Yarrowia lipolytica: one gene and its partners. The protein of the gene in region 1 interacts with the protein of each later gene in a biochemical or structural test. Links are inferred from orthologs where the notes say so. Each region holds a gene or a part of one and is shown in the gene's direction. Other genes may lie near its edges.

Region 1 (10,801 bases):
CGCTTTTTGGCCATTTCGCTTTTTTGTTTGGCCAGTCGCTCAAACTCGCCCCCCCCCCACACTTATCAGCATACAACATCCTCTTTGGGATGGTGCAGATTGGTAGTGCATATCGGCAAAGTCAAATCCCCCCGCTTATCAGTTCGACTCGCCGTTGTGTCCGCACCCACGTTACGTTATATATATAGACCATGGGATCCAGTTTTCGCATGACAAGACGACATTCGTGGGTTACACAGACAGGTTGCACAGTAACCGATTCACAGTTGGTAAGAACGATTTTGTCGTATTAGATATCATCCTAGATATCATTCATTCAGATATCTTTCATATCGATTTCGTTCCGTCAGATTTCGTTCCGATTTCCAATCTCACATTTCGTTCATCTCATTCCGATCTCACATTTCGCTCAGATCTTGCATTTCGTTTGTCTCATTCAGATCTAACACTTGGCTCAGACTTGGCTCAGATCTGACACTTGACTCACCAACACTCGATTGACATCTAACCACCATATCTCACACTGGTCAACAATATGGACGCAGATCAAGCCCATCTTGAGGCGCTCGGATACAAGGAGGAGTTCAAACGAGAATTCGGCCTGTGGTCCACGTTCGCCGTCTCCTTCTCGGTCCTCGGACTCCTCCCCTCCATTGCATCCACCCTCTTCTACGGACTGGGATACGCCGGAACCGCCGGAATGACGTGGGGCTGGCTCATCGCCATGGTCGGCGTGCAGTCGGTCGCCATGAGCATGGCAGAACTGTGCTCGTCAATGCCCACCTCCGGTGGTCTCTACTACGCCGCAGCGGTGCTGGCGCCCCCCAAATGGGGCCCTCTCATGTCGTGGCTCACGGGGTGGTCCAACTGGCTCTGCCAGGTCACGGCCGCACCCTCGGTCAACTATTCTACCGCCTCCATGATTCTCGCCCTCAAAACACTGCACGACCCCTCCTACACTGCCAAAACATGGCACGTGTATCTGCTCACTCTGGGCATCATGTTCTCGCACGGCATCATCTCCTCCATGCCCACACGGTTCATTGCACGGTTCAACAGTGCCGGAACCCTCATGAACACCCTGTGTCTGTTTGTGGTGCTGTTCATGATTGTTGGCGGCGCCCAGCCCGGAGAAGACGGCCACAAATTCAACAACTCCCATGAGGTGTGGTCGTTCATCGACAACCAGACCGACTGGCCTAACGGAATCGCCGTGCTCATGTCCTTCATCTCCATCATCTGGACCATGTCCGGCTACGACTCTCCTTTCCACCTGGCGGAAGAGTGCTCCAACGCCTCCGTGGCCGCTCCCCGAGCCATCGTCATGACCTCCGGAGTCGGAGGACTCATGGGCTGGGCCTTCCAGATCGCCATCGCTTACACGGTCCGAGACGTGGCCGGAGTCACCCAGGACGAGCTCGGCCAGCCCTTTGTCACCTACCTGCAACAGTGTCTGACTCCACGGTTTGTCACCACAATCACCGCCCTCACCATCATCTCGGGCTTCTTCATGGGCCAGGCCTGCATGGTGGCAGCGTCGCGAGTCGCCTTTGCCTACTCTCGTGATGGCTGCTACCCTCTGTCCCACATCTGGGCCCAGGTCAACCCCTACACCCAGACGCCCGTCAACGCCGTGTGGTTCAACTGGATCATTGGTCAGCTGCTGCTGCTTCTCATGTTTGCTGGTGACACCGCCATCGGCGCCATTTTCTCCGTGGGAGCCATTTCCGGCTACGTGGCCTTCACCATGCCCATTGGCATCAAGGTCTTCTGGTCGTCGGATAAGTTCAAGCCCGGGCCCTGGAACCTTGGCCGATGGTCGCGGCCCTGCGGCATTCTGTCGGTCGCCTATGTGGCGCTCATGACCCCCATTCTGTGTCTGCCCCAGTACAAGGGCAAGAACCTCGATCTCGACACCATGAACTGGACCGTGGTGGTCTACTTTGGTCCCATGCTTCTGGCGTTTGGCTGGTTCATGATCGACGCACGAAAGTGGTTCAAGGGCCCCAAGGTCAACGTCCAGCATGCCATCCACAAGGACCACGAGCTTGAGGAGCAGTCCACCAATGGCGTGGAGTTCTTGTCGGGCGTTGAGCCCAGCGGATCGGGCAACTCCTATGAGGAGCACTCCAAGGCCAAGGACTGGGCTCGAGCCGACCAGGTTTAGTTTGGACTTTATGCCGTATTTATTTGCATAGTGAATGTTTACTTGATGAGTTAGTAGGGATAGGAGATATCATAGATCAGAGTAGTATCAGGATCAGCATCAGGATCAGCATCAGCATCAGAAGAAAGGTATCAGATCAGAATCAGACCAATGGTAGCGATCAGAAGAAAGGTATCAAGTCGCAAGTCACGGAAGTGGTTCTGTCAATGGTCGATAGTCAACATGTGGATTTCGTGAGTCTTACCGAGTCTACTCGTAAGTCGAGACGTTCTTCTGTTGTCCTCGTGTCGCCTGTTACTCGTCAGTCGTCTCTGTTGACCTGCCGAGCCAAACGCTCGCTCCTATATATACATCCGGCGATATTTGCTCAGACCATTTTCCGCCCACTTTCTCCAAAGTAGGGCAAAGCTGACGCCATGCAGATGCGCTTCCCTTTTGTGATTAGTGATCGGAAATACCCCAGCCCTAGCCGCTCCATGTTCGTTTTCCGCCAGACTCGAACCCACGGGCTTGTCTTCACCGCCACTCGCTACTCCCAAAATAGCTCCGAGGAGGCGCAGCGACCCACATTAGTCACGCAACCTGCACGATAGCAGAGCAAAAGCTCCGTGTCGAGGTTGGCGAGCAAAGTTGAGATATGCCGCAAGTTTGGTGAGGTGGTCGGCCTGCCCTCGGCAAGTGGAGGTGTCGTGGTCACCAGTGTCTCAGGTACGATGCCATCTGGAGTATAGATTGATACGAGTGCACTCCTAAAGACTGCTATAGACTGCTATAGACTGCTATAGACGCTATAGACTGCTATAGACTGCTCCTATACACTCCTCCGACTCCACGAGCCCTTCAAATGTCGCATGGACCACGTCGACACGCTTTTACTTCGCGGTCCGCTTGCGCATCCATCCGGCTGGACCAACAGTGGCATCTCCTGAATAATACGGGGCGGAGTGGAGTATCGTGGGTCGTAGGTACAAGGCGCTAGTGAAGGTGCTGACAAACGTTGTCGAAGCGGTTTGAGACGGTCAGAAGCGGTTCGTCTCAGCGGTTGAAAGAGCGGATTGGCGACCGTCGAGTAAAGTTGGACCCAAGGAGCTGTCCCACGGTGTAATACAGCCAAATGTGCTCATACTGGGCTCGAACCGTGCGTGTCCCACGTACAGCACATGGCCAACAACCTCGTCAAATTGAACTCACACATTCACTAAAGTTCATACTGCAGTACAGTTGGAAGTAGGGTGGGGATGAAGAGAAAAAAAAAAGGAATCCTCAGAGGAGAAACAAACGAGAAGGAGACAAGGGCCCGTGGGGTATATATTTGGCCGCGCAACAAACAGGTGGCAGGCACGTGTCTGCTGTCTGCGGGAGTCCACGTGACTCGGCCACCGGCTCCTTTGCCCGTCTTTTCCCACCACCACTATTAATGCCTCTACGTACCCCGGGTAACTTTGAAATTGGGAGGCGAGGCAGCAAGACTAAGACCCAAACTGTGTGTGTCACTCTCACTTGAGCTAGTTATCGAACCGGGCTACAAAGCTCCTAGATTCCAGCACAGTCTTCCTCTTCCACCAGAGCGATAGAATTCCGGCATGCCCAGGACAACCAAGCTAAGGCTGACGGGTGAGTATGAGCCGGTGGCGTTGCGCCACGGAGCGACTGTGGCAGTCAGTCAGGGACCAGTCAGGACCAACGGAACACTGGGTGGACATGGGACAGGGTGACACAGACAGAGAATGTCGCAGACAGAGAATGTCGCAGACACAAGGTGGCACAGACAGAGAATGGCACAGACACAGTCCAATGGGAACGGTCCTCGGCCGAACGCCCCTATGACAACTGGCCTGATATCCATTCGGAGATACACAAACTCTGGACCGGAGATCGAGTCTGTGCGACACCAGTGACGGAACGAGTGACGGAACGAGTGACGGTGCGGAGAGACCATGCTGAATGACGGTGTCGAATGGCAAAGACCTACGATATGGAATGGCCAGGACGTCTTCAAGACTTGGTCTCCTCTGTGATCAGAGTGGAGGAGTGCCCGGGTCAAATATGTTCTCAACGTCGTTGCCGTACGTTATTGTACATCATTGTCATCAGTCGTTGCCATCGTTGCGTTGTATGGTCGGGGTTCATATCATTGCATTGGTCGTTGCCCGTCGTGCGACCTGGTATCCGGCCGTCGTGTGACCCGGTGTCCGGCCGTCGTGCGACCCGGTGTCCACTCGAGCCCTCGTAGCTCGCTGCACACGCTACTCTTCCAACCCCGCTAACACAGTCATCGCCGCAGACCAACTATACAAAAGAGATGTCTTCCGTCTCCCCGACCCCTTCGCAGTGGTCCTCGTGGACGGCGGCCAAACCCGAACCACCTCCGTCATCAAGAAAACGCTCAACCCCTACTGGAACGAGTCGTTCGACGTCGACGTTACCCCGTCGTCCATCATCGTTGTGCAAATCTTTGACCACAAAAAGTTCAAAAAGAAGGACCAGGGCTTCCTCGGCGTCATCAACATCCGCGTGGGCGACGTGCTCAACCTGGCCCAAGGAGGAGACGAGATGATCACCAAGGACCTCCGCAAGGCCAACGACTCGCTCGTGGTCAACGGCAAGATCATCCTCAACCTCAGCACCAACACCGCCGGCCGACGCGCCACCGGCGCCTCCTCCGCGGCAGGCTCCACCGCCCCATCCACCGCCTCCGTGTCTGCTGCTGCTCGCACCAACCTCCCCGACATTTCGTCCCTCAGCGTCGACAACTCCAGCGTGCGAAGCAGCTCCACCTCGCACAGCGCCACCCCCTCGGCCACCACTAACAGCACATCGACCAGTGCGCTGAACGGGGCCAATAACACCACGGGCACTACAACCACCACAGGCCCCCCTGCCGGTGCACCCACCGCTACCGCCACGTCCACGGCCGCACGCCCAGCCCCCAACTCCCGGGGCTTCTCGTCCTTTGAGGATCAGTTTGGCCGGCTGCCCACCGGCTGGGAGCGACGTACCGACAATCTGGGCCGAACGTACTACGTGGACCACAACAATCGCAGCACCACGTGGACCCGCCCGGCAAACTCGCAGAACGAGTCCGAGTCGCGCCAGGCCCGTCAGAACAACACTAACCTGGAGCGGCAGCGGCACCAGAACCGAACGCTGCCCGAGGAGCGGGCCCAGTCGCCCACGCTCGGTTCCCACAACCGTACCGGCTCCGGCGCCACCGCAGGTTCGTCGTCGGGAGCGGCGGGAGGAGGTGCAGCCGCCGGCGGTGTTGCAGCCACCTCCCCGGGTGGTACTCCCCGGTCTGCATCCGACGCCGTGGCCATGACCATGTCTGGAGCCACCACACCCGCACTGGGCGAGCTGCCTGTCGGCTGGGAGCAGCGGTTCACACCCGAGGGACGGCCCTACTTTGTGGACCACAACACACGAACTACAACCTGGGTCGACCCTCGGCGACAGCAGTACATTCGAATGTACGGCGGCACCAACGCCGCGGGGGGCACCAACACGACCGTGCAGCAAATGTCTGTGTCCCATCTGGGTCCCCTTCCCTCCGGCTGGGAAATGCGGCTCACCAACACTGCTCGTGTGTACTTTGTGGACCACAACACCAAGACCACAACCTGGGAAGACCCACGGCTGCCCTCGTCGCTTGACCAGAGCGTGCCGCAGTACAAGCGGGACTTCCGACGAAAGCTCATCTACTTCCGGTCGCAGCCTGCTCTGCGAATTCTGCCTGGCCAGTGCCACATCAAGGTGCGGCGAGATCACATTTTTGAAGATTCATATCAGGAGATTATGCGGCAGACGCCACAGGATCTGCAGAAGCGACTGATGATCAAGTTCGACGGCGAGGAGGGTCTGGATTACGGAGGAGTGTCGCGAGAGTTCTTCTTTTTGCTGTCGCACGAAATGTTCAACCCCTTTTACTGTCTGTTTGAATACTCGGCGCACGACAACTACACTTTGCAGATCAACCCCCACAGTGGCATCAACCCCGAGCATCTCAACTACTTCAAGTTCATCGGTCGGTGCGTCGGTCTGGCCATTTTCCATCGTCGATTCCTTGACGCCTTCTTCATTGGCGCCTTCTACAAGATGATTCTCAAGAAGAAGGTTATGCTGGAGGACATGGAGGGTGTGGACGCGGACTACCACCGAAACCTGGAGTGGGCGCTGGACAACGACATTACCGATGTGCTGGACCTGACCTTCAGCGTGGAGGACGACCAGTTTGGCGAGATTGTCACCATTGATCTCAAGCCCGACGGCCGAAACATTGAAGTGACCAACGATAACAAGATTGAATACGTTGAGCTTGTGACCGAGTGGCGAATCAGCAAGCGTGTGGAGGAGCAGTTCCAGGCGTTTGTGTCTGGATTCTACGAGCTCATCCCCCAGGAGCTGGTCAATGTGTTTGACGAGCGGGAGCTGGAGCTGCTGATTGGAGGTATTGCCGACATTGACGTCGACGACTGGAAGAAGCACACCGATTACCGGGGCTACTCGGAGTCGGACGAGGTCATCAAGTGGTTCTGGCAGTGCATTAGATCGTGGGACAGCGAGCAAAAGTCGCGGCTGCTGCAGTTCACGACCGGTACGTCGCGAATCCCCGTCAACGGCTTCAAGGATCTGCAGGGCAGCGATGGTCCTCGCCGGTTCACGATTGAGAAGGCTGGAGAGGCCCAGCATCTGCCCAAGTCGCATACCTGTTTCAACCGAGTCGATCTGCCTCCGTACAAGAACTACGAGGATTTGGTCAAGAAGCTGTCCATGGCTGTGGAGGAGACTGTTGGTTTCGGCCAGGAGTAAGCCGGGGAGACGGGACTGCGCAGTGCAGGTAGCATATACATTTTTATAACATGCTTGAGTGAGCTGAGTAAGGCGCGGTGAGTATAAACCTTTTATCAGTATCGTAGCTGTACAAGTGGTTGGTAATCAGCCACAGTTTGAGTGAGGGATATACACTGGGTGTGATGGAGAGAATATGTAGGTGGAAGAGGTATGGGATTGCATTGTAGACGAGTATACCAATCGGGTATAGCCTTAGATGAAACAGTGATTCAAAAGAGTGATTCAAAAGTGAGCGACGCCATCTGAAAACCGGTTGAAAAACAGTTTGAGAGACCACTGTTCTCTCCACAGCTGGTGCGGGAGTCTAACCTACTGTGCGACACTATTTGCCAAAGCTACGATTTAGGTGGGGCTGGTTTGAGGGCTGCAGTTTGAGGGTTGCAGTTTGAGAGCAGCAGTTTGCGTGTTTTCAGTTTGCGAGATTGGTTTCTGGTCACGTGACCGGCGAGAAGGCCCGCGGCCTGATTTTAGGAGGTGTGCGTTTTTCTGACTGCTACAAGTAGTTTGGTTGTGGTTGTATTTCCCGGACATGACAGTTATCGCAGAATTAGGTTGTAGTTTCTGGATTGGGAATAGTGAGCGGGTTGGGGGTGTGGGTTGTGAAACGGGCTAGGGTTGGTGGATTTGGGCATTTTAAGAGTGGAAATCGGATTTTTGGACACGTTAATTTCCGGCTATCTCTTTTTCCGCTTCTCAAACCGTCGATTATGTGCCCGTCGGGGTGTCTCGTTTTCCCCACTGGTTCCCCCGGAGTCCGCATTTTACGTGCACGAGCAGTCGGGTATTTTCCTTATTAAACCTTGGCGTATCTGCGAGGCTTATCTTCGCAGTTGAAAAGAAGCGTCGGATGCACGCGCAACCGACTTTTTCGACACTTGTTTGACACTTGTTTGACTGGTCACACACACACATGTTACTCACTCTGATTGCGCTTTACACGGGCGTGTTTCTCAGCGCGCTGGACGCCACCATTGTCACCTCCATCTATGCGACGATTGCTTCTGATCTGAACGAGCTGTCGCGAATTTCGTGGATCGCCACGGGCTACCTGGTTTCGTGCGCGGCGTTCCAGCCGCTGTATGGCCGTCTGAGCGACATTTTCGGTCGAAAGGCCATGTTGCTGGTGTCGTCGGCCTGTTTTGGTGTCGGCTGCACCCTGTGCGGTCTGTCGTACTCGCTCATGCCGCTGATTGTGGGCCGAGTGATTGCCGGAATCGGCGGCGGTGGGCTTCTGACCGTCAGCACCATTGCCGTTTCCGATCTGATTCCGCTGCGACAACGAGGAATCTACCAAGGCGTTGGAAACATTGCCTACGGTTCGGGCGCGGCGATCGGAGGAGCTCTGGGAGGCGTGCTGTCGCAGTGGATTGGTTGGAGAGGCGTGTTTCTCATCCAGGTGCCCTTTATTGTCTGCTCGGGCACGCTGGTGGTATTTGGAATGACCAACAGCAATACCAAGAACCAGAAGCTCGACGATCCCGAGTCCGCCGACGAAAACGCCGACGAAAACACCCCCGTTTCGCCCCTCACCACGTCGCCGGCGGACTCGGACGTGGCCAATCCTCTGTCCGGAGCCAACTCGTCGGTTCTCTACGGATCCGTGGAGTCTGAAAATCTCCCACATGCCAAAAGCACCGATTCTGACCCCACCGGCGAAACTACCTGGCAAAAGGTCAAGAACATCGACTTTGCCGGCTCGGCTCTGCTGGTCACGTCGCTGTCGCTACTGCTGTTTGCCATTTCGTCCGCCACCAAGTCCGCCTGGACCGAACCCATCATCTACACCCCGCTGATCATCTCTGTGATTGCCGGCGTGGTCTTCTGGAACTACGAGCTCAAGTGTGCCAACCCCGTGATTCCCGTGAGTCTTCTCTATCGACAAACCATCTTTGCGTCGTCGCTCACCAACCTCTTTATGACCATGGGAATCTTTGCCATGCTCTACAACGTGCCTCTGTGGTACAAGTCTGTGCTGGGCGATTCCGACGCCAAAGCGGGCGCCCGGCTGGTGGGCAACTTCATCGGAGTCTCGTTTGGATCCATGTCGTCCGGAATCTACATGCGAAAGACCGGAAAGTACTACAATCTGGGAATCGCCGCGGGAGTTCTCACCACCATGGGAGTCTTTGCGCTGATTCCTCTGTCGGCAGAAACCCCGGCCTGGCTACAATACACCATGCTGTTTGTTCCCGGAGCCGGCTATGCCGCCATGCTCACCGTTTCGCTGCTGGCGCTAATTTCCGCGGTCTCGAACCAGGAACAGGCCACCGCAACCTCCATTCAATATGCCTTCCGAGGCGTGGGATCCACTCTGGGCGTGTCGCTGTCCTCCACCATCTTCCAGGCGGTCATTTCCAAGTGGTTGCCGGTCAAAATGTACGCCGTGGTGGACAAGCCGACCCCCAAGGAGGTGCGACTGATCGAGCTGACCATTGCCGCCGTCAAGGAGTCGGTGACCGCCATCCGAGAGGCCCCCGCAAAGTTCCAGCCCGCCATCATCGCCTCCTACGACCTGGCCATCAAAGACGTGTTTTTCTACGCCACCGCAATGTGCGCCATCAGCACCATTTGTTTGTATTTTGTCAAGGAGCATGAGTTGAGACAATAGGTCTTAGAGTAATAGATTGGTAATGGAAGTACATGGATAGAATCTTCCGACTTCAGGTTTTCAAGTGGTATGTACATACTAGACTCGATTTAGTTGGATAAGTTTGTTAGAAATAGTTGGGCTACAAACCCTGCTGCGGTTTGTTTTTGATGTTACAGTGATGGTGAAGGGGATAAAAAGATATCATCGTAAAGACAAGAGTCATGTTTTAAGCAAATGTGTAGTAAATTTCCACTGTTTGTCTCATCTACTGGTGTTATCACAAATTCAAGACAAATATTTAACGAATTCAGTTGGGACGTTTGTTGGATTTACTGTAGAGTAATATCAATCGTAACTAACATGGTGGTTGCTTTCAACATCATTATTACTGCTTTCACAGCTACTATACACGAGATATATATATTTACTAAACCCCGATGTTGCCACCGTTGAACCCAGCTCGATTCCAGCTTCCAAACACTGCTACTTGTGTCTTTTCAGAACAACTCCTCCAGGACTTGTGTTTTAGAAAATTACTTACGGTTTAGGTGGCCGTTTAGTTAAAGAAAAAAGTCCGCTGGGGGTGCCAATTCGGGGTTGCAGAGATGCTACAAAAACAAAAGTGGTACCAAAATGTAGAGCCAGGTTAGATATTGTCATTGACACCGAAATATCCCACATATACCATACAAAATTTGCCGCTATTCCAGACGAGCGTATTTTTACACTCTAAAAATTACTTGGGTTTTGTTGACGTAAAGTAGTGAAACAGACAGGGCGCAATGACTATTTCCAAGCACTACTAGTACCCAGCTGGAGTGCTCTACAAACAACGATTCTTGAGAGTTATACTAAGGAGTGACTAGGTTGAACAGAGATCTGAGGCCCGTTCGCATCAGGACCTTTCACCACATCAGCACCAATCACTGGCAGTTTCGGTTCTTGCAATCCTTCTTGGGCTGGTGCTGGTGCTGCTTGCCAACAGTGACAGTGGAGGTGACAGTAACATACTCAGGAACCTTGACCAGCGAAGGAGCACCACGGACCGTCTGGGTGATGGTCTGGGCGGGCGCCTGCACCGTCTTGGTGACGTACTTGTTCTGGCCCTGCACAGTCTTGGTGATGTACTTGTTCTGGCCCTGAACAGTCTTGGTGACGTACTGGTTCTGGCCCTGAACAGTCTTGGTGACGGTGTG
Region 2 (8,266 bases), on another chromosome or scaffold:
CAAGACTGGGGAGCTCCCAGCTCCCCTTACTCTTGCTCAGCTGCAGTTCTCTTCACTGGAGCAGCGATCGCGAGGTCTGAAGCTGGAATACGCTCCCAACAGTGACGACGACGACGAAGAAGAGAATAAGGAGATTGTCACCAAGGGTAAGATGGAAGTCAAGGAGGACGCCAAGGAGGAGGCCAAGGAGGACGCCAAGGAGGGGAGTACAGAGGTGGTGGTCAAGGAGGAACCAAAAGTGTACTCTGCTCCTTCTAACATGAAAATTCGACCTGCTGGAACGTCCAAGCTCAATAAACTCAAGAATAGCTCTCCTGCTACAGTTGTTACTCCCTCTGGAGAGGTGGTTCCTGAGTCTTCGTATGATTCCCACATGCGAGTGTACACTTTGGACCCCAATTGGAAGGCTCAGAAGGACCTGGCGGACTCCCGTGCACAGTCTACTAACCTGGCCACCAGTGGAGTCACCCATAACATGAAGCGAATGGCTGAGGCCAAGCAAGGAGACGGCGGACGGCCCACCAAGAAGCCTGTAGTTGCGTGGGATGGACGTGCTGGATCTAGTGCTGCAGCCCAGGAGGAGGCTATGAGAAGGGCACCCAGCAAGGAGGAGCAGGCCAAGCAGAAGAAGGAGCGTCTGGCCAAGGAACGTGCCATTGGACCTGGACGATAAAAGGAGATACGGGTATAAGGATATAATTAGTCGGATATAAATCGCATTTGTATATTATTCTTATGAGACCATGTACTTGTAGGTCGATTTGCCTAAGGTATTAGTCGTTGAATAGCTTATCCAAGCACATACAGTACTCGCAGCTTCTACTGTAGCTACGTTGTAGGTATGAAGAGCCAAATGAAAAAACTCTTGCGAAAATTTTCGTCAATAGCCTGTTGTATAGCACGAAAAAAGGCACGTGTATCTTCGTTACCTATTCAAGAAGCTATAGGCGGCACGTAACCGAGTGTGAGCGGGCTGTGTAAGAATATCAGGGAGATAGTCCTGAGGTGGACTAATGAGTACAGTAGTTGTAGTCATTGGAGCAACAGATAGTATATTACGAATATATACGTGTACAAGTACAAGTACAAGTACAAGTACAGGTGTAGCCTCCCTTCACTATACGTAACCCACAGTCAGACATGACTCAATACCGTCAATGCCGGACTTATTTGTACCCGGAGATGAGGCTGGGAGGGGCGCTGCCTGACTCAGACCTCCCTCCACACCGTACACAGCCTGGCGTGATTGCCGTGTTTGTGTTACACGATGCCCTCCACAGTTAGTAGTACGAGGCGTAAACGCCACATTAACGCACAAGACGTGATACAACGTTGTTTGAGGCCACAAAGCTTGTCATGCGCAACACTCCCCATTCCGAAGGTGTATCCGCTCTCGTGCCTGTTGGTTAAGATTTGGGGGAGTGTTTGACGAGACCTGTTTTCATCCTGAATGATCATCTACCAGTATTCTACGAGTGATATCTGCCAAGACTTCGTCTGCAAGTTCTGTCTAACCTCCTCTTGGCATGCGTCGATAGGAGTATCACCATATGCACGATAGAGACCATGTGGGGGTGTCCGGGGAATCAAGGTTACCTTACCGAGGACCCCAAGATCCCGAAATTAAAGCCTATATTTATCGCGTATGTCTGAACCAAAGCCACCTTTCAATACCACCGTCCATACGGTTGTGCAAGCCACGATGAGTTATATTCGGGCTGGAGAGTGGCTTGACAGACAGTATATAATCTTGGGTGAGGTGTGTGCGACCGGATTATTCTCGCAATGCAGTTCAAAAACCCATTTGTCAAGGAAAAGGCTGTATCTGCGGCTTCCGTCGACTATGAGACGGCTGAGGTCTCTTCTACTGAAGGCCTGTCTGCAACAGAAGACGAAAAGTTCGACGGAGTCCTCGACGGATCTGGAGATCACAAGAACCCATTCACTGATCCAAATGTTGCTGAAAAGTTCCGACAGCTCTATGAGGACTCTCAATACGAAAGCAGACATGTGTTTGATCCCGATTTCGAGTGGACCAAGGACGAAGAGAAACGTGTCAAGAGAAAGATGGAGTGGAGGGTCGCTGGCTGGGCATGTATTATGTTCTGGGGACTGCAGATTGACCGAAACAACTTGGCTCAGGCTGTGTCTGATAATCTTCTAGAAGACCTGAAGCTGACCACCAACGAGTACAACTACGGAAACATGATCTTCTATCTGTCTTTCATGAGTGCTGAGATTCCGTCTCAGCTGGTTTCCAAACGTTTAGGTCCTGATCGGTGGATTCCAATCCAGATCTGTCTGTGGAGTGCGGTAGCCATGTGTCAAGGAGCCCTTCAGGGAAAATCTTCGTTCTATGCTACGCGAAGTCTCATTGGTCTCTTGGAGGGAGGATTCATTCCTGACCTGGTTCTTTGGTTGTCGTACTTTTACACCTCAAAAGAATTGTCCATCAGACTCTCCTTTTTCTGGACTGGTTTGTATCTCGTGAACGTTCTGACTTCGCTCTTGGCCTTTGGAATTTTGAGAATCCACTCTGGAGGTTTGGCTGGCTGGAGATGGCTGTTCATCATTGAAGGACTCATAACTCTGTGTATCGGACTAGCCTCTTTTTTCAGAATGCCAGCTTCGGCTGTCAGTACCAAGAAGTGGTTCAGACCAAACGGTTGGTTCACTGACCGAGAAGAGAAGATTGTGGTCAATCGAGTTCTACGAGACGACCCGTACAAGGGTGACTTTCATAACCGACAAGCAATTACCCCATTCACTCTCTACAAGTGTCTGTCTGACTTCTACATGTGGCCCATCTATGCCATTGGTCTTCTGGCATACATTGGAGACAGTCCCGAAGGAACCTACTTGACTCTAACTCTTCGACACCTGGGTTTTTCTCCCTTCAACACAAACTTGTTGACCATCCCAGTGAGTGTTCTTAAAATGATTCTTTTGTTGTCCTTCACTTGGCTGTCTGAAAAGATCAATGAGCGGTCCCTCGTCAGTATCATTCAACCCCTGTGGGTCATGGTATTGGTGATTGCTCTCCGTTTCTACCCTGAATCGGGTATTAATGTCTGGTGTACCTACACCATTCTAGTCCTTCTTCTTGGAGGGCCCTACATCCATGCTGTTGTTGTGGCATGGACTTCCAGAAACTCCAACACTGTGTCTCAAAGAACAGTGTCTGCCGCCATGTACAACATGTGCGTCCAAGCTGGAGGTGTTGCTGCCACACAGATCTATCGAAAGGATGATGCTCCATTCTACCACAGGGGAAACACCCAACTGATTATTATCAGTGGAGCAACAATCGCTTTGCTCATTGTGACGAAGATCTTCTATGTCACCATTAACAAACGAAGAGATCGAAAGTGGAGCGCCATGTCCAAAGAAGAGCGAGAGGAGTACGCTCAAAACTCGACAGACAAGGGAAGTCGGCGGTTGGATTTCAGATTTGCTCATTAAGCATGCATAACTTATAAAAATTGATGTGTTGTACAAGTACAAGTAATAGTTGTATCTCCGACGTGTAATGCTTAGTAGTCAAGAACAATCTCATTCACTTGAACAGGACGTTCTCGTTCCATAATTGCAACAGTTTCGACGAGATCATGCTGGTGGTAGACGTCGGCACAAATGATGACGACTGATTTCAATGCAAATTCCGTAACGTCTGTCAGTCGATCATATTTGGGGTTCTGTAGAATCTCCAGAGCTCGTTTACCCAGACTCCGTACTGACGCCTGCTCTGACGCGTCTAGAATGTCGGGCAGACACGACAACAGACCCATGAGCCATATACTGAGACCACGGCTGATTTTAGGTCCCAGCCATTTATGACAGTACTCCAAGAGCATGAACAATTGCTGGTGGGGCAACGATGCAATGAATTGTAGTGTTGGTTCGGGAGAAGAAGAGCCCGAAATGAACGTTTTCCATTTTGAAAATGTTGTCGGTAGCTCTGAATCAGCTGGTAGTTCAGGTCGTTCATCTCCATGCGATTGCACAGTTTTCCGTAACTCCATGAATGACTTTCTGATCTCCACTCTCCACTCGTTGATAACAGATAGTGGCATAACAAGAGACATCTCCGTGTATTTCTTCGAGTATGTTGAGGGTGTTGTGGCACGTCTCTGTCCTTTGACTGTCGTAAATGCTGGACTCTGGTTTGCTTCTCGTTTCACCTGGGCTAGATACTGAGCGACATCCATAGGGGGCCCTTCAAGGTCCAGGTCGGCCACTTGCTCGTCCAGCGGAAATGCCGATCGCTGGCCTGTATCTTCGTTCAACGGTCCTGCCGTGTACTCCTCCAGGTTTCGCTTCATCTGGTGTGTTCTGTTGTTATCGTGAGGCTCTCATCAAAAGATTCGTGAGCCTAACTCTGATGGGCTTTGAGCCGCATGGTTGTGTCAGTGGCGAGATACAACTACATTGTAGTGTGTTTTCTGTAGATTGAGCGTTCGATTTTGGCGACTTTGGAGAATTTTTTTCACATTTCGCTACTACATGGTCTCTACACACAAAAATATAGACTTCCTAAAACATTGACATATACCATACAATATTCCAGATGAAGCCTTGGGCTGTATCATGACATCACCCGCTGTGGGAATACCCGAACCCTAATTATGGAGTTTAGTTCGCCACCATCGTCAAGCAAGCCCTATATATCACCATACCAACGCCTTGCTTAAACCGCAAACCCACTCAACTATATACACCTGTGACGTCTTCTAAACGACACAGATATACAAGCACAAGTTACAACCCCTGAGTAACAGCCCAGGTCCGCCTCTAAACCCCCATCGCACACATCCACACACATCACCATGAGCTGCACCGACCTTCTTCTTGTCATTGTGGCGGTTTTCTTCCCCCCAATTCCAGTTGCCATTCGACGAGGTGTCTGTTCCGCAGATTTCTTCATCAATGTGGCTTTGTGCTGCCTCGGTTTCCTGCCCGGCCTGATTCATGCCTTTTACATCATCTCGAAATATCCCGGTGACGAGCATGGATGTCGGCATGGCGGCTACGCTCCTGTCAACGGCTCCGAGCAGACCTTCTACGGCTCTTCTGATCTCGAACGAGCCGGTCCTTCCAGCAGCCACCAGCAGCAGCCCCAGCACCAAGCTCCTCCTTCCGGGGAGTACTACACTTCTCTGGACAACAAGAAGGACAACACCAACCGCCCTCCTCCTTACTCTGGGTAAGTGGGTATCTTTATAAGTAAGTTAACGTGACATTTCTACAGCACCAGCACCCATTCTCGTATGACAATTATTGTGTAGTAGGCAGACATCGTATTCGCTTATGAATAGAACCACCCTCTCTCTCTATAAGTATATAACGCTGCGCAATCTTGCATGGACTGCGGTGTTTATGTACCCCTTTCCCTTTTGCCACTTGCGGTCATTAAGTGAGTAGCGTACCTATCCAACCGTTATTGAGGGTTGTAATCGGCCCTTTTATTAACGAATAAGACACTTGTATACGTCCTTTAAACGCTCTTCTACAGCCCTGGGTATGTGCGCACACGAACCATCTTTCAATACGGGAAGGAGAAAAACTCCATCGTAATACGTGATGCAGGCCCCGCAGACAAACGCAACTACGATATCTGGGGTGTGGAGATATCATAGGCCTCCCCTTGTTCCCTTGTGCTCCGATCCCATTGATATTATCAAATACACACTATAACAGCCTCAGAAATACACTAGCAGCAGTACATGTCATCCAACATGCCTTGGGTCGGACATGTCGGATCTGCAGGCCAGCTCGTGTCTCGCTATATGATAATCCGCGCCTTTTACCGAAACGAAAATCGCGATCAGAACAGGAGACCACACGGACACGGCCCGTGCCCAACCGTAGCATAGCCAAAGTTTCAAGGTGACCCTGGCGGCAGCCAGCGCAGCGCTGGGTTGTGATGATGCAATCTACAGCAACTCAGAATGGCACTAAAACTCCAACACGGTGTCATGTCCCCTATACCACTCGGAGAAAGGGAGATAGTCCAGCGGGAGCGCCGTCCGTCGTAGTGGGATCACCAGGGTACTTTTGGGTGTTTTTTGGCTGTTTCTTTGGCTTTCAAGACTCGATTTTGCAGTCTCATAACGTATCTTATATCGTTCCTGTTGACAAGGCTAAATAAATAATCCCACATGGAGGAACCAGCAGCCAATAAATTCAGTATATACCCCCGCTTGACGGCAAACAAGACTATGCAGGCTACGGTCTGAAGTTTAGCAGAGCGCTATTGTAGGCCCGCATTAGTCCCCCGCTAGTGCCTTAGCTGAATTATTCCATCCTTGGAACCCAAATGACCGTGACAAGCTACGACACTTGTACCTACGACATGAGACACCAGGAACAGATACAATATCCATAATTCGAAATATAGGAAGAGAACATCTCGTTTTCATATTATACAAATAAATAAGGACTAGCCCGAAAATGAGCTTGGCATTGACAACCGAGATTAAATAAAAGCCTCTGTTATTTGTTGTTCCAAGACGGAAGACAAAGAAGTGAGCCTGTCCATCCTAGAAACAAATGCATTGAACCGCATCGTCGCAATCCACTAAGGCCCATACGAAAGCATCGATCCGTGGGTTGATGAATTGTGATCCATCTTTAGCGAATGATGATCCACATGGCCTGACGGACCCGGGTTGCTGTACTGATACATATCTCCCATATCCGGAATCTGCTGCTCCGGAGGTGGAGGCAGATCAGAGTGATGTAGATCTCCAGAATGCTGCGGTTGTTGTGGTTGTTGATGTTGATGGTGTTGTTGTGGTTGTTGCTGCTGATGCTGATGCTGATGCTGCTGCTGCTGTTGATGCTGCTGCTGTTGATGCTGCTGCTGTTGATGCTGCTGCTGTTGCTGCTGTTGCTGTTGCTGCTGTTGTTGGTGAAGAATATGTTGTTGGATATGTGGATCCTGGTTGTCGGAGAGTCCCAGTTGACTGTGGTTGGACTGCCGTCGCTCTGGTGGGGACTGTAGCATCTGGTCTTGTGTAAGCTGCTGTTGGTCCAGTTGGTCGAGTTGCTGTTGTTGAGACACTTGAGGGATGGGCTGTTGGGGCTGCTGTTGTTGTTGCTGTTGCAACAGATCAAGCATGGGGCCGTCATAGTGTTGTTGGTGTCCTTCTTGGGAAGGCCCGGGTCCCAGTTCGGAGTGAGCAGGCTCGATCTTCTCATCCTTGTCGTCCAGGGTCAGCTTTTGGAGTCTGCCAGAAATAAGATCCTGGTAGTTCATGTCGAATCTACCACAAATGGAACGAGGCCATTCCAGATAGTGATGGAACTCCTCAGGAAGCACATCAACGATAGCTTCCAAGTCGCCACTGAGACGATCTCGAAGCCAGAAAAATGAATGAGACATGTGCGCAAATGCGCAGTAGTGGCCCAGAATAACCAAACAGTACGGGTCTCCTGCTCGAGTAGCTTGCAGGAAGCCTCCAGAGATGTAAGTAGCCCAACCGGGAAGATGTGATTGGCCCCGGTGTTTGACGTCCAGATTGTAGAGCTCTATCAGCTGTTGTAGCTCCATAGAACACATTTGTCGGTGGCCCATGTCGGGGATTGTAGAGATAAGCTGCCAAAGCACAGGTTCGTTGGGAAGGTATGATCTGTTGGGCATGGGAGGAGGTAGAGGGAATAGCACCATTCTATCCTTGGCCGACAGCTGGAACACCAGCTCAATCACGCCTCTTCCTACTCCAATCACGTCGGCTCCTCCTTCAAAGTTGATGAGGGGAATCAGTTCTCCAAGCGCGAGGGCAATCATAAAGATGACTACGGAGGTGGACAGAATGGATTCCTGGTTGGAGGCGTTGAGGGTCACTAGTGACTGTCTATGTCCCGCCAGGGCTTCTGTAAAGGCTTTGACTATCTTCTCCAGCAGTTGCGAGTTGGGCTTGAGGTATCCTGTGACCCGGGTCATGTCTGGTGGTGGCAGTTTTATCGGCACGCCCGGGTTTTCTCTATCTCGTCGTTTTTCCAGGTGTTTTCGCAGTCGTTTTCGTTCGCGCGCGTACTCGTGATCGTAGGTGTACTTTTCGGGTAGGTACATGTGAGCCTTGTGGATGGATGCTACAGTGAGAACACACTTGTACAATGCAGAGTTGACGATGGTCATGGACGGGATGGACCGCACCCAAGAGTAGTCTGCGTCCCCACAGCTCTTGGTCAGCTGAGGAGAGGTGTGTTCCACGTAGAACCGTAACAGTTCGAGGTCAGCAAAGTCCACGTCAAACATTCGAGC
Region 3 (10,816 bases), on another chromosome or scaffold:
TGCAGAGACGCGGGTAATTGAGTGGGACGAGTGGACTCCTGGGTCTGGCAAGTCTTCGTTGTGATGGAGAGGGTTGCATCTTGTAATTAGTATGGTTTTATGTAGTAATGTATTTTAGCTGATTAAAGGTACTGTAGTACACGTTTTATACACATTTATCACGAGTAGGTTCTACCATAGAAGTACTACATCCATATTTCATATTCCCGCTATTGTCTCTAATCAAGCCATGTGTTCCGTCTATTTATTAGTTTACCATCCCTCTATCGTTAGATCAATTGTCTCCTCCTACTTAAGCAATCTTCTTACTGGCGGAGACAAAGCCGACTCCCTTAACGGTGCAGATCATCTCGTTTTCGTTCTCGTCGTCCTCCTTGAGACGCATTTCTACGCCCCAAAACTTCTTGATATCTCGGGCGAGGGTGACGAACCGTTCGTCAATGTTCTGTTTTCCAATCACCAGCCGTCCGACATCTCCGGATCCCAGAATCATGAAGATGATGGCCATGTCGAGCTGGTTGCGGCCAAACACGCCCGCTCTACTGATCTCCTCAATGAGCTTTTTGGCGGTTTCTCGACCTAGATCCTCAGGAATGGAGCCTGCTACCGCCACCGACTCGGCCGAAATGCAAAATCCGGGTCTGGTTTCTCCCACAAGCACAATACCAAAGCCAGGCGACTTTCCAGACTCGTCTCCTCGAGCCACGTCTGAGAAAATAAATGTCTCGCAACCAGTGGCTCTCAGCTCCTCTCTCGCTCCATCAATCAGTCGGTTCACGGACGCAGGAGACACTCGACACGAGTATGCAATGCCTCTGATTTTGGATATGGTGGGTGTGGTGGTGGCATGAAGGGTCTTTGGATGTAGCACTAGGTGCGGCAAGTGCAGCATCACCTCTCCTCCACCAAGGGGAGTGGCTCCTCGCTGAATGATCTTCAACTCCTGTCTCTCAATACCAAACTTCTGCATCACGGGGAACACGGAGGTTCGAATACTGTCTGGCGACGGGTCCAGAGAATGCGAAGTGATACCCCGAAGAGTGGCGGTCAGGGCCTTCTTGCCAAACGGCGCAAGAAGCAGAAGAGGTTCAATGAAGTACCCCACTCCTCTACTCAGGGGGCAATTATGGGTCACAGAACCACCCACAATGATTCCGGGCTTGAAAACAACCGTGGTACCTGTGTAGGAGATTTCAAAAACCGATCCGTTGGTGATCGATTCAAGCAGACGTAGAAACGACACCTCGTAGTCCTTCACACCGGGCTCCACATCGTCTGACCGGATCTTGTCGATTCGCACAGGCATGCCCGATAACGTGGCGAGCACGAGCCGCCGTCGGAAGTTGTTGTGGCCCGAAAAATGTATCGTTTGTTTCTTTGCCGTCGACATGGTGGTTTGTGTAGCTAGTGATCAGCATGCTCTGAAATATATTTTTTAAACACCCTTCATGCATAATTTTTTGGAATAGGCTTTACGTTAGAGTTTAACCGATGGCTTCAGTTCGATTCGCGGTGGTGGTCGAATAGACGCGGATTGGAGTTGATGCAGGTAGCTGGAAAAAGTGTCGGGGGAGGGGGATATCCAGTGCATTCTCGCTTTCTTTTACTTCCGCCTGGTACAAGATTGCCCTTTTTGGTGTTGCCGTAATATTGGTTGTTTTATTTTGTTTTATTTGTTTTATTGTTTTTTTAATTGTTTAATTTTTTAAGCTGATATCCCAGCTGTAATTATCCTTACTTGGGGTTTTTAAACCAGTCAAGTCATCATATTGGGCAATCTTCCTCGTTCATCGTTCGAATCCTGGTCAGATCGGACTGAGACGATAAATGTTTGGACACCCGTTTTTTCCCACCGGAGTCACAAGTCTCTCGTTCCTCTTGCACAGTATAACCCGTTTTGCTTACATTCGATACAAGAATTATTCTCTTAGATGATGTTTTAATTAATGTATTGAAAATGTATTGAGAAAAATCAATAGCTGTTTGCACAAATGGCTGAGATAGCCTTTAACGCCAAAGTCGAGCTGAACACTTTTCCTCCAGCATTTTATTCTGTTGACTTGCGTTCTCACCAGGGCTGTCTTGGTGGCGTGTCAGCTATTGAAAATCCTAAGTATTATTGATTAGATATAGTTAATATAACGACTTACAGCTCACTTCTAGGGACACCACGTTCTGATAGTAGCACACAGAAGGGTGTGTGCTTGCTCATTCACGACAAGAGATTGTAGATCAGCGGATACACATCTACAGGATGGACATCTCGTCTACGACCAAGCTGGTTCCTCTCATCACTATTGACCTCTTATCATTATGTGAGGAAATTAGCCAGGTATTACCCTACCGGGTTTTACCTTCCCCTTGCAGCATGTCTAGCGATAATCTCAATAATCCGTCCGCAGTCGAAATCAAACTGGAGACATCTGCTCTTCAGGAAATGATTACGCAGCTGCCATGCCGCCGTAGGTTCACACGACGCTCCCGAACAGGAAATACGAAAAAGGCGCATCTCATTGGAGCAGGCTAGGGATCAAAAGAATAAAGAAGAAAAAAAAAGAAGAAAAAAAAAGAAGAAAAAAAAAAAGGGGTGACACACTCATGGACTGCGGCGTATTGATCACAGTTTCAAAACAACTTTGGTGTAATACAGTCCCCCTACAAGTAGCACGATCGCATAGGCTACAAGTCCACATTGGTCTGGGCTACAATTGTAGCATCTGGTATCGCAAAGTACACCCGTAGTGTGACCCGGCTACAGACGGTGAGTTAGTTAGTGTGTCTCTGAGCAAGAAAAACAAAGATGGTTACGAGACATTTGTTTTCGCTGCCGTACTTAGCTCACGAGACATTTGCTGCCGTAGCTCGCGAGACATTTCGGAACATTTTGGGCGTTGTGCACAGCAAAGTGTTTTTGGATGTCGCTGTAGGAGGGAGTGCATCACGGGTTGTGGTCATAACTTCAGCAGAATAGGAGGTATAGCAAGGCAGTGTGACGCCTTATAGTCGTGGAAAACAGTTGGCCGTAACGTTCATAACTGAAGCAATAAATGATAAATGCCACGGAAAAACAAACCGCCCATAGGTAGGACAAGGTCCATGTAGCAAAGATCGTATGACAGTAAAGGGTTGCTACATGGGAGGAGTAGAAAGCTGTCAGTGGGAAGGAAAAAGAGGAGCTGTGATGACGTACAAGTGCATCTACTTGTACTGCACTGCACATACTGTACTTGTAGTCGGTCTGTGGTGGAGACGGGAAAGACAGAGCAGTGCATCTTGTGTGTTTGAGAGGTGGTGCAATAGATACTTTGGTTGTATCGTAGCGGTCCTAAAGAGCAGGTGCAACTGCTGGAATCATAGATTGAACATAGAGAGTGGAAAAATGCAACGATACCACGAGATATGAGTGTCGGGAGCTTCTTGTGGTGACTTGTCGTTACTTTTTGCTGTTGTTGGACTCCTCATCTTGGCAGCCCTGGTATGAGCTGTAAATGTCATCTGTTGTATAACCATCTGTCGATAGCGTTGTTTTGTCCGATCCGTGCTTGGCTCGAAAGCCACCAGGAGCTAAGGACATTTGCTAATTAATGAAACGACCCCAGCAGCTCTGGCTCCAATGGCCCGGACGTTAGTGGTGAGTAGCCCTGTTGGTGGTTTGGACACGCCATTCCCTGGGCTATTCCCTGGGTCCTCCAACGTCTCGATGTTAGCCAGTCAGCGTTTTCTTGTTTGGGTCTTGGTCATTTCTTTTTCACACACCTTTTTCCGCTCGCTTTTCCCGCCTCTCTTTGCACTCTGCTGCTCCCTCGCCCCGTAATTCGGATTAATTGCAAAGCCTAAAAACCACAAAAGAGGCACTGTGTCTAGCCCCCCAGGGCAAGGGTCGCCTCGTACAGGTAATGGCCAAAAACCTATAAGCCGCATCAGCTGGGTTCCCCACACCTGACTGTGCAACTCAAAAAAAATACAAAGCCCGTGTGGATACTCTTGTGATGACGTGGGCATGTGCACGTACAGGAGCTACTGTAGCAACCGCCGCCACCAGCTCGCGGCTGGGTCTAGCGCCACATGGCACAAACACCGGGGTTAGAGCGTGGGTCAGGGGCTCGTTCCGGGTTGGTCGGCAGATGGGCTTGTTGTGGCAGAGGCACCAGTGGTGGACGGGGGTTAGGGCCAAACTAGTTTAGTGCGCGGTTTGGACATGGGTCGGGGTTGGTGTGTGTGTGTGGAGGAGGAGGAAGATAAGTGATTGGGGGTCCGATGGGCTTTTATTGTCGGCGATTTCTACTCTCTTTTTATAACCACATGATACATTAAGCGTCTCTAGCAGTTCCCCTCGTTGTGCTGGGAAAGCGATAGACGAACAACCGTCAAAAAAGACCCGACTGGTAATACCAGTATAAAGTTGACCAATCTTAACGTTGATTTTCTCATACCAGGCTACGAGTAATTGTCAGACCCGGTAATTTAATTTAGATTTAGGGTTTCTGAGGAGTGTACTGCTCCACCGCTGGGTCAAAACCAGTCACGACAGTATTACTGCCAACATCACCAGCAGCGCGCCAGAGTTGCAGACAGAGCAAGACAAAACCCGCATTTGCGCCAGCGAGCACTCCCGACGCAACCAAGAGCCCCATCACGAGACCGCACAAGTTTGAGAGCACAGCCCAGAGGCATACACACACACACACACACACACACACACACGCACTCTCGCTTTGTCACAACAGCGTGTGAGCGCCACCAAATTAGCACCCGGAACGTTACCGACACCTTTCCGATACACCAGTGGTTCTACAGTACAGTAGCAGGTTGCGCCAGCCCTAGCACATAAAATGGAGACGGATTCCAAACGCGGCGTGTACTCCATTGCACGATCCATGTTGCCGCAGCATTTTCTGCGGCGAGCCCCCCACGAGGACTACGACATTGAGCAGCACCTCAACATGAGCATGTTTGAGGACGACGACGGGCTCAACGAGGAGCTAGACATTGACATGGATCAGTTCCACATGGACCTCTTTTCGCCCCAGCAGGGCGTGGTCACACAGACCCCGATACCCACGCCGATACAAAAGTCTCCGGCAACGCTTCCGACACATTCGACACATTCGACACAACCCGCCACACAGACACAAAAGGCCAAGAAACGCAAAAACGAGTCCGGCCTGGCCAACTACAAGTTTGGCCGAACCACGCCCATCATTTACCCCCCGTCGTTGAGCCCTGGCCCCCACAACTCCGGCTCGCCCCCCACCTATCTGCCGGACTTCAACCCGGTGACTTGGGACCAGATTGGCAGTCACACCGCCCACAAGCTTGTGGTCCAGGACCTCCCTCCCCGCTCGCGAGTGGAGACACAAATCAACCTGTCCATGTTTGTGTACCCGCCGCCACCACAGAACCTTGTGCATCTCCCCACCGACACAATTTCCAAACCCAAGCTGCAGCTGCGACAGGGCTTCGAGCCCGACGCCGACGTGCTCATGTTGGAGACGGTCGTCGTGTGCCATTCGGACCCCCGCAACTTCGTCAATATTTGTTCTGGTTGCATGAACCGAGAGCGAAAGCGAGCGTCGCGTAAAAAGGTGCGTGTCCCCATCGACGAAGCACACTGGAACTGCGACCGGGACCGACGCGCCATCATCTTCAACTGCAAAGAGATTGTCGAGCTGTCCCCCGTGACCACCGAAGGAGGAGTGGTGGGTCGACGGCTGGATCTGCCCATGCGGATCGCGTGCTACTGTCGCCACCACGGCGAGGAGCTGGGCTTCACAGCCTACATTTCGCTGAGGGACCACACGGGCCGTGTTGTTGCCCAGACAAAAACCACCCCCATCATGATCACCGACGACCACAAGGCCTTGACCGAGGGCGACGTGTCCTCTCTAGCAGCTCGAGTCTCTTCCGAATCGCAACAATCACAATCACAACCACAATCACAACCACAGTCACAGCCACAATCACAACCACAATCACAGGCGCAATCGCCCTCTCCCGATGGTCCTCAGATGGAGATGGAGGTGGTTCGAACCACCAAGAAACGTAAGAGTGGCGCCGACGACACACCCTACTCCATGTCGTCGACCACGTCACTCCAGAAGCTGGGCTCTGTCTCAGAAACATCTTCCATTCCCGACACGGATCTCTTCACGTCTGTGCCCTCATCCACCGACTTCTCCGAGTCATACACCAACATGGCCAGTTTGTTGAGTGGGTCCGAGAGTGCGGCGGAGGAGGATTCCTCTGTCCCTGCCGTCAAGCGGCTTATTCCCTCTCAGGGCTCTATCCGGGGAGGTATGGAGATCACCTTGCTGGGCCAGGGTTTCCATGACGGACTCGTGGTGAAGTTTGGTGACAACTTTGCCTCAACCCAGTGCTGGAGTGATACGACCATTGTCGCACAGCTTCCTGCCACTGAGGTTGCCGGGCCCGTGATTGTCGCCTTCTCTGGTATCCCCGTCAAAAACCCCCAGGTCTTCACATATATCGATGACACGGACCGACAACTCATCGAGCTGGCTCTGCAGGTGGTGGGTCTTAAGATGAACGGCAAGCTAGAGGACGCTAAGGACATTGCTCGTCGGCTTATTGGAGGAGGAGGAGTCAATAACGTTTCTGGCGTGATGGTTCAACAACAGCAGCAGCATCAACAGCCTGACTACATTCAACAGCAGATGCAGCTGGAGAGCGAGGTAATCAAGCTGCTGAGCTGCTGTGACGTGATGCAGAGCTCTGAAAACAACGAGGGCCTCAACTTCACCAACGCCAAGACGCAGTCGATGATGCACCTGGCTGCCGGACTCGGATTCACACGACTAGTGGTTTTCTTGACCTCTCGGGGCGTGTTCCTGAACACCCAAGACGACGCGGGCTTTACCCCGCTGCATTACGCTGCTCTTCGTGGCAAGCTGGATGTTGTCACGTACCTGGCTTCTCAGAACGTCAACCTCTTTGTGGAGTCCAAGTCCGGTCACTACGCGCTGGACATTGCTGAGGAGGAGATCCGGTCATATCTGATGGATCTCATGTACTCGGGCGTGTCTGCTTCTTCGGATGACTCTGGTTCAGAGACTGAAGTGCCCGCATCTTCCAAGCGGTCGCGTCGACATCGACGACGAGCACGAGGACCCCGAGGTATCGCTCAGTACATGTACGACCTTAACAGCGCGGTGTGGAGCTCCAACATGGGCGATCTGTATGATTTCATCAAGTCGCCCTTCAAGGTCGCTGAGTCATCTACGTCGGAATCGTCTTCCGCGTCTTCCGCGTCTCCCGCGTCTTCCTCGTCTCCTAACGAGCATGCTCCTCCCAAATACGAAGACATCTTTCCCGAGGGCTCCAAGGTGCCCGAAATCGACTACTCGTCGTCGGTCATTGAAGCTGGGTCTTCCACCCCAGCAGCCCCCAGCTCGTGGGACCGAAAGGAGCAGACAGAAGTGTCTGCCACTCCTTCTAACACACCCACCGATGAGTCTGCTGCTTCCTGTGGAGCAGTAGAAATGAGCGAGGAGGAGGTCATGGAGGCCTGGAAGTCGAAGCGTACGCTTCTGCACCAAGACATTATGTTCTTCCTCTTCTGGCTTCCCATTTTTGTTGCTCTCATGTACTGGGCCTATCTGACCGCTCGGTCCTCTCTCATGGGCTACTCTTCGACATCTTCTTGGGATGTCAAGTCTATGAAAGACACTTTTCTGGACTATACTTTGCATGTCCTGATTCCCAAGAAGCACATTCACAAAGTCAAGTGGTTGAGTTGAGTCGAAAATAATAGTTGCATTTAGACAAGTGATTTATTGAGTATTTTCGGTGTTTTGTAAAGAGTATGATTTGTTCTATTGTACTTTTGGTGTAACTAAATGTACAGTACAGTACTGTGAGGTTGTACCACCTGAGTCAGGGGCGTATTATTTAATTTTTAATTCTAATTTTATTCTTTCGTTTTTCCGGAATTTGGCTGAATAATCATCTTTGCGCCGTCATAGCCGCCTTCGTGGCCAAGTGGTAAGGCGCAGCACTAGTAATGCTGAGATCATCAGTTCAAATCTGGTCGAAGGCAGTAAATTTTTGTTCCCCATCAAAGAACCAATGGAGGAGGATTTTTTGGGAAAAAAATATTTAAATTTTAATTTAAAAAAGCCCGACGTGGGGCTTGAACCCACAGCCTTGAGATGACCTTAGAATAAGAGTCTCACGCTCTACCGATTGAGCTAGCCAGGCGATTTTCAAAAAAAATGTATCCTGTATTATTTATCATGAAAATTGTCAAAAATCTCGCGAATTGATTTATAATTGATATCAGAATATTTATCTTGACTTCATTAGTACCCTTCTGGCTTTTGTTTGGACTAATGGGTAATTTCAAGTCTGTTGTGAGTCCAGAAAAAGGATCTACAAACTGGTTCAAAACTGCACAAACGGATTTATGACTCTAGAGTCTTCCAGCAGTGTGATAATGGAATATATTGTGATCTTGCAGACCGTTTCTTCTAAGGTCAAGACTGTTCCTATATTGTCTTTATGAGCAGTACTTTTTCTCACGGTTGTGCAATTGACCCGAACCTGGACGGATCATCACTGTCATGTTCTGAGCGTGTACAAAAGTGTACTTGTACTATATTGTGGATATTTATGTATTGTGGCTGTAAATACTGGTTCTGTTGAGCATTTTTGAGACCCCTTGCTGTTCTCCTGCTGGAGCGAAAAGTTTTAGTTGGGATTATGGTCTGATTAGTTGGTACTTCCAGCATTCAGGTATAGCTGTCACGATAGACATTCCACATCTGCGACTCAACACTCGCTTTTGCAACTCGATTTGACGAGATTAAACTAGTCCGCTTTTTTGAGAGAGCCCTTTGAAGACCTGAAGGGATTTCACGGCTTCAATTCTGGTGTCTGAATCCATTCAACGACCATGACTTTAGTCTCTCTGCACTTCAGATGTCTCTCGACAAGTATTGGCAGAGATACTTATAGAACACTTGATGGTGCTGGCACCGTTGACAAGTCCAATATCGTAATTCGAATAATCTGCTAGGAAGATTAATGCATGGTTCGTCTAAACCACCGACATCTCGTGTTCCTCATTTCACCTTGGTCCACACATCCACTTCGAGCCATGCAACCAGTCTTTCCCCTGGTATCCGCCTTGGTTTCCCATTTTGAGTCGATCGCCTCGTAATCTGGGGGTGCTAGAGACTCGTAGGAAGGAGCAGAGTCATCGGCGTAATCGTTTTTGAAGACCATGTTTGTATTCTTTAACAGGGGGTACTCGCACAGCAAAAAGTCTTCATATTCGAACGGCACGAGGTTAGAGCAAGCGTCCACCTGAGCGGTTCCGAAGACTGACCGCGCTCTGGAGAACACCAAAGGCGCAGACAGAGACAGGTCCACGTACCTTCGGGACTTCTGATTGGGCTGGTTGGTCATATCCAATTGTGAGAAGCGCAGCGACACGTATATCTTGTGCACCACGTGAAGAGGGTGGGTGCGGGAGGTTGATGCGGATAATTTGTCAATGATCCGGGAATTCAACTTCAGCGAGTAATCCAGCACTGTCTCTTCGGCTCCGGGGATGAGAAGATTGCCTCTATGGATGGAGTCGAAAAAGTTTTCCTTCACGTCGAACCCTTCTTCCCTGGCTTGCTGGAGTTCTATTTCGTCATGCTCTACATCGTCCGAATCTGCGTATCGGTTGGAATACACGGTGAGGAGTCCAGTTTTCTGCGTGTCATTGGCGTTTGAATTGCAGGTTTGGGTCACGGAGATCTTGACGGAGTTGAGTCGAATGGGCTTCTCAAACAGGGTCGTGGTGATCTTGACGGGGATCTCGGTATCTTCGTTTAGAGAAATGTCTTTCTGCGGGTAAGAAACAACGAATCTGAGCTTGTTGAGCCAGGGAGCCGAGACATTGACGGGGAGAAGAGTCTGGTCGTCTATCTTTCTGCCTCGGGCTATGACAATCTCCTGGGAATGCTCAATGAGGCCGCAGTTTGAATGTAACCGCTTTTGGCAGCTCACCTGGGTGTCAAGAGTGTACCACAGTTTGTTGGAGTTGTGGGAAGCAGTTTCAGGAAGCCCAGCAGGAAGAGAGCAGTGAAGCGAGTACTTGTGAGTGGAGGCTTGGATAGAGACCGGATTGGAGATTGCAGAAACGGGCCCTTCAACAGGCTTGGATCGACCCGACAAGAGATCCCATTGGACCAGAGTCTCGTTCGTTTGAGCCCTTGTCTCCGACACTACCATGTGACGCACTAGAGCAGTGGTCATCTTTTTGACCCGCGTGCTCTTCGTGTACTTCACTGAGACAATGGGGGTAAAGTCCACCATGAGTGATCTCTGTTCCTGCATGACTTGTTCAAACGAAGGTAAAGGCGAGTCGGACCGGGGAAGAGAGATTGTTGTCTCTGAGAGAGCGTCTAGTCCTGTGGTGTTACTGCTGTGTGATCCATAATCTTCATCATCCTCATGGGACTCTTCTGCTGGTGCGTAAGGAATATCCAAGTGGGTTCCCTGATAGGAGATGAGGACAGACATTTTGGTCACCAGAACAACGACCCTGGACCCGCTTTATCTATCTATCGAGTGAGGAGCTGATCGTTAGCGGCTCTTGTTTGGAACCTAGACAGATTAGCCTCCGACTCGCTCCTCAGAGCTTTCCCTGTTGTTGCCAGACATTCATCGTTATATGATACAAGTACGAGGTTTGTCTGCAACAACGGAATTCTAATCTTCCTCAATTGATTTCTTTTGTCCAATGTCTCCTTTACTCCTGCTAACTGGCAAGCGACTGCGCCATCGTTTCGTGTGCTCTGCTATT

What was found.
Region 2: the proteins of YALI1_E21513g (region 1) and YALI1_B27399g form a complex in vitro, tested with the Saccharomyces cerevisiae proteins (2 studies listed by BioGRID, with this or other methods). The link is inferred for Yarrowia lipolytica from reciprocal best matches to the Saccharomyces cerevisiae genes RSP5 and SNA4.
Region 3: of the proteins of YALI1_E21513g (region 1) and YALI1_A05605g, one has a biochemical effect on the other in vitro, tested with the Saccharomyces cerevisiae proteins (4 studies listed by BioGRID, with this or other methods). The link is inferred for Yarrowia lipolytica from reciprocal best matches to the Saccharomyces cerevisiae genes RSP5 and SPT23.

What each region holds. Positions count from the first base shown.
Region 1 is NC_090774.1:2,144,959-2,155,759, reverse strand, and holds YALI1_E21513g (uncharacterized protein), read left to right. Parts: upstream 1-3,750; coding exon 3,751-3,781; intron 3,782-4,439; coding exon 4,440-6,973; downstream 6,974-10,801. Other genes in the region: YALI1_E21555g (uncharacterized protein), read left to right, coding at 90-158, 203-475; YALI1_E21552g (uncharacterized protein), read left to right, coding at 536-2,167; YALI1_E21535g (uncharacterized protein), read left to right, coding at 2,213-2,220, 2,265-2,568; YALI1_E21524g (uncharacterized protein), read right to left, coding at 2,979-3,256, 3,305-3,362; YALI1_E21478g (uncharacterized protein), read left to right, coding at 7,926-9,623; YALI1_E21443g (uncharacterized protein), read right to left, coding at 10,529-10,801. UniProt on the Saccharomyces cerevisiae protein: E3 ubiquitin-protein ligase which accepts ubiquitin from an E2 ubiquitin-conjugating enzyme in the form of a thioester and then directly transfers the ubiquitin to targeted substrates.
Region 2 is NC_090771.1:2,736,444-2,744,709, reverse strand, and holds YALI1_B27399g (uncharacterized protein), read left to right. Parts: upstream 1-4,826; coding exon 4,827-5,207; downstream 5,208-8,266. Other genes in the region: YALI1_B27454g (uncharacterized protein), read left to right, coding at 1-673; YALI1_B27429g (uncharacterized protein), read left to right, coding at 1,786-3,462; YALI1_B27404g (uncharacterized protein), read right to left, coding at 3,534-4,322; YALI1_B27360g (uncharacterized protein), read right to left, coding at 6,578-8,266.
Region 3 is NC_090770.1:555,752-566,567, forward strand, and holds YALI1_A05605g (uncharacterized protein), read left to right. Parts: upstream 1-4,832; coding exon 4,833-7,757; downstream 7,758-10,816. Other genes in the region: YALI1_A05527g (uncharacterized protein), read left to right, coding at 1-64; YALI1_A05571g (uncharacterized protein), read right to left, coding at 293-1,390; YALI1_A05583g (uncharacterized protein), read left to right, coding at 2,599-2,741, 2,787-3,003; YALI1_A05592g (uncharacterized protein), read right to left, coding at 3,030-3,457, 3,508-3,574; YALI1_A05662g (uncharacterized protein), read right to left, coding at 9,040-10,533. UniProt on the Saccharomyces cerevisiae protein: Dosage-dependent suppressor of Ty-induced promoter mutations. May exert its suppression effect through protein-protein interactions since does not present any of the motifs generally found in transcriptional activators or DNA binding proteins.